3 linked regions of the Daphnia pulex genome follow. The protein of the gene in region 2 purifies or fractionates together with the protein of the main gene of each other region. This does not show direct contact. Links are inferred from orthologs where the notes say so. Each region holds a gene or a part of one and is shown on either strand. Other genes may lie near its edges.

Region 1 (4,376 bases), about 1.3 Mb from region 2:
TCAGCATGTATTAAGATAAAGATTATTTCTCTATCAAACCTGACACGGTCATACGGTTCCATTTGATCCAAGTGACGCATATCCTTAATCCCAATAATCTTTTAAAAAAACTATCTTTATGGATTCATTGACGTACGTCCGATGTGTAGATTTTTATATCGTTCACGTGTTGAGTCCATGTGCCTGTTTAACATTTCAAATAACATTTTCAATATAAAATAGTTTCAACATAAAACAGACCCAGTAAACCGTAGCGCATGTTGGTCTCGTTCGTCATTCACAATCGAACACTATCAAATGACGCAACGTATGTTCGTTAGCTGCAACGACGACTCCATTGTTTAAATAGGCGCGCCTAACCTCACACCTCTTCAATCCGGTGCTTCTGCACTTAAATGAACCGGTCAAAGACCAATTGCTGGTTTATTAAAAAATATATAGATTTCTCAATGCCCACACAAAATGTGCATCAAAGTTTCTTGGCAATTCAATGAGCGACCTATTTTCATGACTGGGGAAGCGACGATAATGCCCGATGAAAGAGCGAATTCAACATTCAACACAAGATCACCGAATGTTTTGTGCTGCGCTTACTAATGATCTTTTTGAAAAGTTAATGCTAATACGGTAGCAGCTATCACTCCGAATCCGAGAAATTTTGAATGTCATGGGGCAATAAACGGAATTGAATATTGTAACAATCAGAGAAAAACGAAAATTTGTTACAATTATATTATTAATGAGGACGAACCTTCAACTTTTAAAAAACCTGCGAGATATCGCGTAAGTAGCAGTTTGAATTTCTTATATCGAACGTTTATAATTCATCGCGAGTCATCTAGCGATAGCTAGAAAAAGCAAGATTCGGGCGCCCTTTAACACTGCGTAGCTGCTATAATGTGTACAAAAATATAGATACACAATTTAGTTGGATGAATACTTAACTGGCTATTGGTTGAATCGGGTTCAACTTTCGTCCAACCGTATGAGAGAACTAGAACTCAACATTACGCAGTAACGTTTTCAACAGAGTTGAAATGCTTGAGAAACAATTTGCACCAAAACTTCCATTGTTATTGAAATTGTGGCTTTAATTCAGTTGGATCTGTAAAGGGCTGATGGTATGAAGAGATTCAAGGGGGACATTTCAGGAGGGGGAACGATGAATAGCGATGATGATCCGTTGAAGTTTCAAGAACTGAACAGTTAGAAACTTAAAAAAAAATATGATATAATACTCTTTGATAGTAATGCAATACAAAAATATTATTAAGGGTGGGGGATGTATGTACAAAGAAAGGCGGGAAAGATGAAATGAGGTAGGCCCACGTATTGGCCTTTAAAAAACCGCCTAGCTTTGTTGTTTAAAAAAGGATAATAATTACCACTATAAATTCGATAGTAACACTGTAAACGTGTCAAGTGGGTTTTGCTACGAGATTCTAAGCGAAATAAAGAAAAAAGCGCATGTGATGACGACCACAGGGCGCGTCCAGCAACTGGGAAATGTTAACAAGCAATTTGGCAACGCTTTTTAGTCCAGCATATATCGTTGTCTGTCTCGGCTTCACCATTCGTGTGAAACAAAATTCTCTTTGATGCTGATCCTCGTGTACAAATTTTTTTCTATATTTACGCTCTTTGTGAAATCGAAATGCCCGAATCATTTTAGTGCTAGATTTTTTCTATTTTAAATCCTTTATTTGATTAAGTTGTTTTTGCCCACCCGTGCTTGCGGAATATTTTCAAAATCGCATTTTAAAGGTCTGCCCTTGTTCCCAAAACACTACACACTATCAAGCCCTCGCCCATATCATTAAAAAGATTCTACTTTTATTTTGATTGCACTTTTTGACTCGTAACGCCATTATAATTTTCGCTGCACTTTTCACTGGATTTTTATCGACGGTAAGTGTGAATCATTCTTGCTTTGTTTCATTATTGTTATAAAAAGAAACCTTTATTAACAACATTGAATCTTCTTTCTTGGCAGATGAGATGACTAGTGTTTAATTGAGGATATGAGTTGTTGTCTAGGCAGCTGTGTTTTGGTTTCCTAGTAATAGCTCAGCTTCTCAATCTCTAGCTTACGTAGCAGTCAGAAACCCAGCAGAAATAATTTATGCCAGCGTCCAGAGGACGGAGTAGTGGGAGGGGCATGGGCGACACTGCTAATGAAAGTCTAGCTCAGAGAAACCTGGTAGACATCAATGTGGCTACTGTTGAAGAGCTTTCCACCTTGGTTGGAGTTGGACGCAGCAGAGCTGAAGCCATTGTGGAAACCAGAAATGTAAGTTTAGGATTAACCCAACACCAGTGTGTTTTATATGGTTTTGACATGTGTTTTTCCTTTGTAGTCCCTTGGAGGATTTACATCCATCGAAGATCTAAGTCTGGCTCCAGGTGTGGGGACAAATTTGATTGAAGCCAATCGTCAGATACTAACAATATCAGTACCAGCTCAGTCGTCTCAGGTGAATGCAAGAAAAGCCAACACTCGGAGCAGGTAAATAGTGTTATACAATACTAAATTTATACCCCCTTCTCATGGTTTTGCTATTAGTGTAGGTATATTTCTTTATTGTTACTCTTATCTAAGCCTTTGTTCTTTGGATTAGGCAAAAATGCGTCATTTGATTCTAAACATGTTTTGTTGTTGCCCTAGAAGCAGTGATAATACAAGCGCTCAACCGACTCCGAGCACCACACCAGTGATATCTAGTTCAAGTGATAACGCGACAGAAGACCAGCAAAACGACAGTGGAAGTAGCAGCAGCAACGAATGGGGTGCTTGCCGTTTGAGGCAGCGCCGGTCAACAAGCAGAATAAATCCACTGCCCGTTGGCAAATCGCCTTCGCTTCGACAGACTCGGAGCAACGATAGCATCATTCAATCGCCTCCTCCTCTCCCCACAACACCTACATCATCGACACCTACTGCTCCTGCCAACGACGCCAGCAATGTATCCGTTAAAGAGGAATCACCCACCTCGGAGAATGATGACGTCGCCAGACCAGGAGCTGTAAGTTTATCCAACACTTATTTGTTATTAAGAACATGAATTTAATTAAGGTGGTGTGTTGTAGACCAAGCGCAAGTCGGAGTCGACAGCTGAGATGGCAGCTGAAGTAGCCACGGAGAAAAAAACATGTCGAAGGGGTGAAGGTGTTGATTCATCTTCCTCGTCAATCTACTGCCATGTTCACCGTAATCCGATTCCCTCGAAAGACAATCCTCCGCCAGGATTTTGCCAGTGGCTTCACACGTTCCAAGTATTTTTCGTCATTCTCTCAACCACTAACTCATTGCTAAGAAAAACCATTTGTTATCATTGCAGTACTGGTCGAACGCTGAGCGTTTATGTGCCATTGACCAACTGATAGAGCTGTGTGAACCCACTCAGGTCCGTCACATGATGGCTGTTATTGAACCACAGTTCCAACGCGATTTCATATCGCTGCTGCCCAAAGAACTGGCTCTGTATGTTCTCAGTTTCCTCACGCCTCGCGACTTGACTCGCGCCGCACAAACCTGCCGTTGTTGGAGAGTCTTGGCTGAAGATAATCTCCTCTGGCGAGAAAAATGTCGTGAAGCGGGTATCGATGACGTTCGTGATACTCTAAATAAGCGACGTCTTCGCGGATCTTCCCACCACTCATCTCTCAGTTGTGGTCTTTCTTCCCCCACCGGATCTAGCCAAAACAATGCACCAATTATTACTCCGTCACCCTGGAAGGTGAATAGATCAATCTGGCTTAAACGTTAATAGGTTGCAAGATAATATTGATTCGTTGCATTTTCAGGCGACTTATATGCGTCACCGAAATATTGAGTTGAATTGGCGAGTGAGGCCGATCCCACAGCCAAGGGTATTGAAAGGTCATGACGATCACGTCATCACCTGCTTACAGTTTTGCGGAAACCGCATCGTTTCGGGATCGGATGACAACACGCTCAAAGTCTGGTCGGCTACTACGGGAAAGGTAATTCATTGGGCTTTCTGCCTAGACAGGACAAAGACTTTAAAAACGCGAAATGTCTTAAGAACAGACAACCATTTAATTGTCATTTCACTCAACAGTGCATGAGGACTCTGCAGGGACATACGGGAGGCGTTTGGTCCTCTCAAATGCAGGGAAATATTATAGTCAGCGGGAGTACAGACAGAACCTTAAAAGTCTGGAACGCTGAGTCTGGACAGTGTTTGCACACATTATACGGCCACACCTCCACTGTCCGTTGCATGCATTTACACGGAAATAAGTCAGTCTTTTTATCAGATATTTGTAGCAAGCACTCTTACTAATTCAACTGTTTTCCTTGATCAAAAATGAATGTAGGGTGGTGAGCGGGTCACGGGATGCAACGTTACGTG
Region 2 (4,056 bases):
CCAGGACTTAGTAGGCAGTCATGAGCCGAAGAAGCCAGAGAAATATCACGGATTGCACTGCTAACATCATCCAGAAATTCGGCCAAAATCTTTTCACATTCCAACTGTAAAAATAAAAATCGACCAAAAAATTTAATAACAAACCATAAATTCAAATAGAAGAAAAAGATTACCTCTTCAATAACTGTAAGAGAATCCATCAGATAACAACCAACGGTCGAATACAGACGCATACGGCTATTATTAAATTCGCATTGACAAAACTGATTGCTAGTGGGCTTGTAGAATTGCATTACCCGACGGAAAATCGATCTCAAATTCGAATCTTCCAACGCGCAAGAATTCATCTTACTCCACTAATAATAAATCAATAACAAGTTTATACAAAATTCGATTATTTAAGAAAAGATGGATTTCTATGAGATAATCTTTACCAAGAAAAGATTGGATAAAACGGACCAGTTCCAAATCAATGAATCTTTTTGCGCCAGGACTCCACAGTCTCGAGAAAGTGCTGAAAGAACGCTATCAGAATCTCTGCTGGATCTCATCTACAAATTCCAAATTTTTAAAATCTGATTTATTTTATAATGGGCGAACACAAATTCATACCTCTGATTCCATTTCTCCATTGGTCTGAAACTCCGTCTCGTCTCGATGGATGTTGGTTGCATTCTCCTCAGTTTTCTTGTATCTCACGGAGGAGTGTTTGTTGCACGATGCTCTTCTTTCTAATTCAACGATTTGTTTAAGAGCTAAACTGTAGGGAACGATTCCTTTTTTCTTAAGTTGGTGAATTTTGGAGAGGGCTGCTGCTGCTTGGGCGGCTCGGTGGCGTTTCACTGGGTCGCTTTTAAGTGACGTAATGCAGTCAACTAATTGAGGCAGACACATTTTTGTCCCGTGACAGGAGGGTGGCAGCAAAGTACTACTTAAATGCAATAACTCTCCTAAAAAGGAACAGATTCATAATTTAATAATAATAGTTAATATTTATTATATTATGCGAGAGTGTACCCAGCAAAATTGTTGCTCGGACCGATATAAAAGTGTCACTTGTCGTAATTACTTCCACAAGTGTCTGGACTAATCTGGCTTCAACCAAGCAGTAAACCAACAAGGCCATATGGTTTAATACAAGATTTGGTCTGAATTTGGAAATGTGCGGTAGTAGACATTTGCCTTCTGCAGCTACATAGCCTTCCTGCAGCTTCCAGGCGTCCTGTACACGGGACGGATCAGTAGCTAGAAGCGCTACGGAAAATTCGTCCGTCCATTCCGGCAGTGGTAACCGCAGAAGTGTATAGAAGAATTCCAACATTGATTTCTATATGAAAATGTAATTGTCATTTAATTATAAACCACCAAGCTATCCAATCAAGATGAAAGAACTTGCCCTGGTTTCCAAGTGACATGGGAGCAAGACTTTGACTAGGTCTTCAAGAATTTTGCAGCTCATAACATGTAATACTCCATTCCAAGACCTAAGAACTGTAAGCAGTGCTTGCTTAGCGCAGAGTAGACGAAGCTCACGATCATCTGTCGTAGTAGATGAATTGTTTCCTTCTCCTGCATCTATGTAGTGTCTATAGTGGAAATCACTATAGGGAGCAATCAGAAATCGCAGGTTTAATTTCGAAAGCTCACGTCGCGGCTCTGTGTCGAATAGGTAGAGTAGGGATGCCATCATAGCTTCTTGCATACGAGCAGAGGAGCAATCTAAAACAGCAGATGAGAAACATCGAACACCTCCGCTGGCAACGAACACGGATGGGTTTACGATACCTATAAATGGATTGAATTCAATGGATTGATGTCTTGATTTGGCTTTTAATAGAAATAAACCTTACAAAGTTCAGCTAGAATAGCCAAAGATGCTCGTACTAAACGGTCCTTTTCTTTGGTGCCATCAAAAGCAAGAGCTACAATTGAACGCGCCAGAGCAACAGGGAATGATGGTGGATCAACCAGCATCAATCTCCTACATAATCTCAAGGCTTGAGCACGTTCTGCCATGTTATCCACGAGCACATCCAGACACCTATTAGAGAACCAAAAGATATAGCTTAATATGCTTGTTCCTCTATATTTCATTCTTTATAATACTTTGCAATGAAGTAATGAAGATCTGCTTGAACCAATTTTTGTGCATATTCTTCATTTTTTAAGCACAGTCTAATTATCCTTAGACCAGCAGCTCTTACGGCTTTGCTGTCGTTGATCAAAGCAATTCGTAGACTGGAAAAAAAAGGATCTTTCAATACTGATACACAACAAAGTATATAACTCTTCTTTTGAGACCATATAAAAAAATCCAAAATGTCCAGTCCAATGCTGTCACAGCCTTTCTTCTCAATATGCTTTGAGATTACATTTAAAACCGATCCTATGTGTTGAGGTTTGCCAAGGGTAACAACATCTTTGCAGCACATTTGCAGCAAAGCATCCTTAATGCTGGGAGTCAGGTCTTGACATTTATAGTACAAGGAAGTCAGTCACCAATAAAACATAATAAAGTATTTGTCTATAAATTTGTAGTTTACCAGTTTGAGGGTTACCATTCACAATTGCTGAAGAAACTAGCACATCTGAAGTAGCATTTACTAGATGAAGAAACAGGATTCAAGATTAAATATCAAACAATGTAGAAAGCTTGCACACAAAACAGAAATACTGTAGGAAAATTAATTTCCTATAGTAAAACAAAAAAAATAAATAAAAATTTACGTTTGACAGTTCGCCCCAATCGTCGAGGCACCTCCATTTTCGAAGGTTGACAAACAACTGAGAGAATAAACGCGCGCGATTGAACTTTTTTGAATGCGAAACGTGTTCTCCCGTTCTATGAAGCAATCTAGATTACTAATAAGGGCTATGTTATGTATCACAAGAGAATGAATATAGCGTATTTGAAAGTTCCATTCACAACATAAACTTTTTAATTGATAATTTTTTTATAAAAGTCCATTATTAGAGAAAAATTTCTTTCACAAAAAATTAACATATATATTTTTCTTCTGAAAACGCGATCCATGAATATGATTTTAAAGTATTTTTTTTTTGTAAATATTAAAAAAAGCTTGTAAGATACTTGCGCATTGATGGATAGTTCAATTATTATTACTTTTACACCTTTACACCTGAAGAACCGGTATTAGCTAGTGAATAATCAGGTTGCTGACGGTAATATATTCTTCTGTGAAACGCGTAGCAAAGATTATGCCATCAGACAGCTGACAACTTTTTACCAAAAATCTTTTCAAACAAGATTTTATTAAAAATAATTTAATACTAATTAGTATAAAATAATTAATATGAAGACATTGCTTTTGAAATCGTGTATTTATTACGGCTCTGCTGGGCCCTGCTGATAAACATATTATAATCTTACGCAATTATGCGTTGAAGGATAATTTGGTAATTTTAGTTTGTATTTCGTAGCCAATGCAGGTGCAATAAAACGACCCCCTAAAAAATGGATCCCGTGGAAAAATCTTGCGCACCTGCCATAATCGACTTTAATTATTTTTGAACCAGAGATAATATGAACGTGAAGTAAATACTGTACAATTTCGGCGCAGACAAAGAAATAAGCATGGCTGGCTTTAAGGAATTATCTTGATCAAGTGGCCCATTTTCAACATCCCAGCCTGCAAGTACCAGACAATATTTAATAGCACACTTGTATGTATGAAAAATGCTAGCACAATAAGAACAAATGAATTCCTGTACCACTGGGAATATCAATACTGCAGCAGGGTGTAGACATGTGTAGCATATTGTCAATAATCTCAGTGAATTCCTTTCGGACAGGAGCTTTGAAGCTAAAGCCAAATAGTGCATCGACAACAAGTGAGTATTTTGAATTCAAGTCTTCAGTAGTTGGGCATGCTGTTAAAAATGGGATTTCAAACAGTTCACACTGCTTTGTAAGATTTTCATAGAGAGTCTTGGCTGTACGCTTGGGATAGAAGATTTCAGGACAGTAGCTATAAAAGAAATAAGAGACATGTAAAAAAAACTGCTGCTGCAAGTACCTCAGATTATAATACCCAA
Region 3 (3,538 bases), about 2.2 Mb from region 2:
GGATCCTGAAATCAAATCTGTTAGCTGCTATTATTGGTCGCTAGATGCCAGCACGCATGTGGAGTCTTGGCACTTTTTACGGAATCAAACATCAGAGGTCGACATGAGATTAATGCGACGACCAACCCGGTCCACCGCATTGGTGGTTTAAGTGATGGGACATTCAAGTGATGGAAAACCAACTGATAAAAAAAGGAGCGGAAGAAAGATGTTTGGAAAAAACAATGGCCGGCACGGGAGCGATCAAGTCCATCCTCGGTGCCCTGAATTCGGTAATCTCATCAAGAATCGAGGCTAGTGTCCAACTAAGGAGATTAATACTGATAGATGAGCCCCACGTTCGTTGTACGCGAGACTATTCCCTTCTCCTTTCTGCTGGACTGTAGAAATGGATGACTTGACATGAATAGAGGAGGATAGGGCGCTTGGTTGCTTCCATTCGGCTGAAATTCGTCACGCCATCCCAAACCCATTACGCCCGACTGATTGAATGTTAATCCAATTTGACGTTGACGTTTGTCTTGAGATTGAGGGGGCCAAAGCCAATACGACACAAGATAGGTGAGTTGATTCCCGCTCTACCAAATGAATCAACCTCTACAAGTGAGGTGGGACGGTACCATTAAAAATTCAGGCGTTCCTAAGTGTATCAAAGCCAATGAAAAACATTTTATACATTTGAGAAAAATAGAAGAAAAAAAAAAACCAAAAAAAAGGGAAAATTATGGTAAAATGTTCAATTTACGGTGTCCCGTCTTGAAATGCCAATGAGGTAAGAGCTTTTGAATGACCAATGTATTCTTTAGCTATCTCGCTCGTTTCTATACTCCACAGCCTTGCTGTGTTGTCGGACGAAGCTGGATAAACGAAATGTTTCATCAAGACAGGCAGACAAAACCAGGATGAAGAATAGAAGAGTCAAGTACCTGTTATTGCGTATTGTGAATCGGCAGAGAAGGCAATGTCCCACACCCAGCGCTGATTTTCAGTTTGCAGTGTGGAATGAAGGGAAAAATCGGAAGTCTTCCATAACTTGGCCGTTTGATCGGCTGACGTCGTGGCCAAGTACCTGCGAGATCAATTGTAAGATTGAAAAAGAAATTCAAAGAAAACGAGGCGAACGTATACTTTGCGTCAGGGCTGAATTTGCATTTGAGACCGTAACGTTTGTGAGCTAACAAACGGCTTTTCGGTCGCAACTGTGTTGGTGTCGAACCTTCTTCGCCGTCCGGCAGTTTAGTCCCAGGGATGAGGCTCCAAACATAACAGTTTCCCTTTATTTGTGTAGAGAGAGAAAAGGAAAAAAAACATCTCAAGACTTGGTTGGGAAACTAAGAATAAACATCAATAATGGGCACCTTGTTATTAATGGCTGCCATGAAGTTTGCAGAAGAATCAATGGAAATGTCTTGAATGGAGGCATCTTGTTCTGGAATCTGTAAGTATTTGATTGATATTATTATGGAAATGGAAATACTTGAGGTATCAATACTAACCAGTTGTTCATTGTGATCTGTTCTCAGGTCCCTATATAAGCAATCCATGTGTTACAATCATTCCCAACAGAATAAGAAAGGTACGTAAAATCTCACCAGATGTGGATGACACCACTTTGGTCTCCTACCAATAGTTCACCTTGATTAGGATGCAAACAAACACAATTTACAGGGGCAGTGACTTGAAATATTCTGGAACATTGCAAATTTCTTGTCCTAGAATGACACAAATGAGAACTCAATCAAACTATGTTTTTTCCAATAATACGAGGAAACATGATACCTAAGATCCCAAACTCTTGCAGAACAGTCTTCTCCTCCAGTGTACATCCAGTGTCCATCTTCGTGAAATCCAACAGCAGTCACATTTCGTGAAATACCTTCATAATTGACTATGGGATTGGGGTTAGAAGAGTTGATTTCATACATGCGAATATGTTGGTATCCTGCAGCTGCCAATAGCTGGCTGTCGGGGGTGATATCGAGAGCATTCACTTGCGATTCGGGATGTGTTACCGTCCGGGTACACACTCCCGAGTGGGCTTGCCAGAATTTAATTGAGTGATCATAACCTCCTGTAGCTAATATAACTTGATCTCCATTATTATTACCCATAAGGTTTTATTATATTGTTTGACGTTTAAGTCAAACCAACAAAATAAATTTCCTTATTGTTTTTCTTCTGAAATCACTCTACTAGCAGACGACGATCAGAAACTCAAACTACGAGCCCAAGGCCGCATTGCCAAATTACGAAAGGTATGAAATTAAAAAAAAAGAAGAGAAATTTTTAAGTTTTAAATCACATTTTATTGAACCGACAAGATTTCAACAATCATTTCTTCTTGTACAGACACAGGTATTTCTTCTGAATGTAGCAACATTATTTCAGGTGTAGGCGATACGGACTCAGTGAAGTGGGGTAAGGCAGGACATTCATTTTCCACATTTGTTTGTTCCATGAAATTTGATTCGGCGGAGACGTTTTGTGGATCCGGTTGCGTTGATTTATTAGAATCACCGAGATCTGTTTTTTTCATGATTCTTAAGAGTGTATTCTGACTCGGTAGGGGAAGAATGCCTTCGGATCTTAAATGCTTGTACGCCGAAGAACTTTTGTTTCTGATTCGTAAACATTCTTTGAGAAATTCGGGATCGTAACGCATTGCGCTGAATCGATCGTTTCTTCCAGGATTCACTGTTGCTTTGGCCATCATTGTTTTAACAACTAGCTGTTCCTAAAAGTGAGTAATTCTTGTAAATTAGCTGAAAAGAGAAATTTGACATATCAATTAATCATTACTTTGGGCTTTAAAAGCTTTAATTTCACATCAAAGCTATTCCAGTAAAGCTTCTTCCTTTCATTGCGCAAACCTTCTATGGTACCTGAAAGAGCCTGAAATTCAGAAAGAACTATTAAAGGATTATTCCGAGAAAAAATCCAACAATAATTTACCTCAATTTTAGAATTTGATCGTGTCAACCTTTGCTTGGTGGAACGCAACCTCGATTTATAATCTTCTTTCGAATTTTTCAATTTCTTGGTCTTCTGATTATTTGTACTTCTCTTCAAATAATTTTTAAAAACGCGGCATTTTGAACAGAGAGCGGAAGCAGGAGGGTTTGCAATTCCCATGCACATTTTTGAGCGCCACAAATTGCCTTCCTTGATACCAGCACATTTACCCGTCACTTCGGTATCTGCTAGCGAATCATCCACAATTCCTTGACATGTTCTTCTGTAATTGAAATCTTCAAGAATATTTGCTAAATCAGCTTTACTTCGAAACTCAAATTGCATATCTGGAGGCGTGATGGGTTTTCCATTCAGATACAACGCAACTTTGGTCATGGTGACAATTTTAACAGATTTTATAGTCATCACACCGTCATGGGAAAAAATATGACAAGAACAAACTAAATTGTTGTTTCGTTCGTTGAAGGACCAAGTCCATTCAGCTGTAGGAGTAACGACACCATTAATGAAGTTGTGGTAACCCGCCATACCCAAATGGAAACTTTCCTCCTCATTCACAGTAGGG

The links.
Region 1: the proteins of rapamycin-insensitive companion of mTOR-like (region 2) and F-box/WD repeat-containing protein 7-like purify together in Homo sapiens (affinity purification with western blotting; 3 studies listed by BioGRID, with this or other methods). This does not show direct contact. The link is inferred for Daphnia pulex from reciprocal best matches to the Homo sapiens genes RICTOR and FBXW7.
Region 3: the proteins of rapamycin-insensitive companion of mTOR-like (region 2) and target of rapamycin complex subunit lst8-like purify together in Homo sapiens (affinity purification with western blotting; 14 studies listed by BioGRID and IntAct, with this or other methods). This does not show direct contact. The link is inferred for Daphnia pulex from reciprocal best matches to the Homo sapiens genes RICTOR and MLST8.

What each region holds. Positions count from the first base shown.
Region 1 is NC_060019.1:12,535,766-12,540,141, forward strand, and holds the start of F-box/WD repeat-containing protein 7-like, read left to right. Parts: upstream 1-1,530; 5' UTR 1,531-1,908; intron 1,909-1,993; 5' UTR 1,994-2,122; coding exon 2,123-2,290; intron 2,291-2,357; coding exon 2,358-2,506; intron 2,507-2,665; coding exon 2,666-3,023; intron 3,024-3,087; coding exon 3,088-3,273; intron 3,274-3,338; coding exon 3,339-3,737; intron 3,738-3,804; coding exon 3,805-3,984; intron 3,985-4,082; coding exon 4,083-4,264; intron 4,265-4,341; coding exon 4,342-4,376. UniProt on the Homo sapiens protein: Substrate recognition component of a SCF (SKP1-CUL1-F-box protein) E3 ubiquitin-protein ligase complex which mediates the ubiquitination and subsequent proteasomal degradation of target proteins.
Region 2 is NC_060019.1:11,217,702-11,221,757, reverse strand, and holds the start of rapamycin-insensitive companion of mTOR-like, read right to left. Parts: upstream 2,898-4,056; 5' UTR 2,765-2,897; coding exon 2,728-2,764; intron 2,604-2,727; coding exon 2,544-2,603; intron 2,468-2,543; coding exon 2,302-2,467; intron 2,239-2,301; coding exon 2,107-2,238; intron 2,042-2,106; coding exon 1,851-2,041; intron 1,786-1,850; coding exon 1,397-1,785; intron 1,328-1,396; coding exon 1,018-1,327; intron 951-1,017; coding exon 613-950; intron 552-612; coding exon 435-551; intron 357-434; coding exon 174-356; intron 105-173; coding exon 1-104. Other genes in the region: NAD(P)H-hydrate epimerase, read right to left, coding at 3,380-3,503, 3,569-3,650, 3,733-3,989, 4,053-4,056. UniProt on the Homo sapiens protein: Component of the mechanistic target of rapamycin complex 2 (mTORC2), which transduces signals from growth factors to pathways involved in proliferation, cytoskeletal organization, lipogenesis and anabolic output.
Region 3 is NC_060019.1:9,055,871-9,059,408, forward strand, and holds target of rapamycin complex subunit lst8-like, read right to left. Parts: upstream 2,224-3,538; 5' UTR 2,112-2,223; coding exon 1,780-2,111; intron 1,713-1,779; coding exon 1,593-1,712; intron 1,528-1,592; coding exon 1,497-1,527; intron 1,437-1,496; coding exon 1,359-1,436; intron 1,275-1,358; coding exon 1,129-1,274; intron 1,070-1,128; coding exon 927-1,069; intron 858-926; coding exon 742-857; 3' UTR 618-741; downstream 1-617. Other genes in the region: uncharacterized protein LOC124191397, read right to left, coding at 2,306-2,734, 2,800-2,892, 2,953-3,538.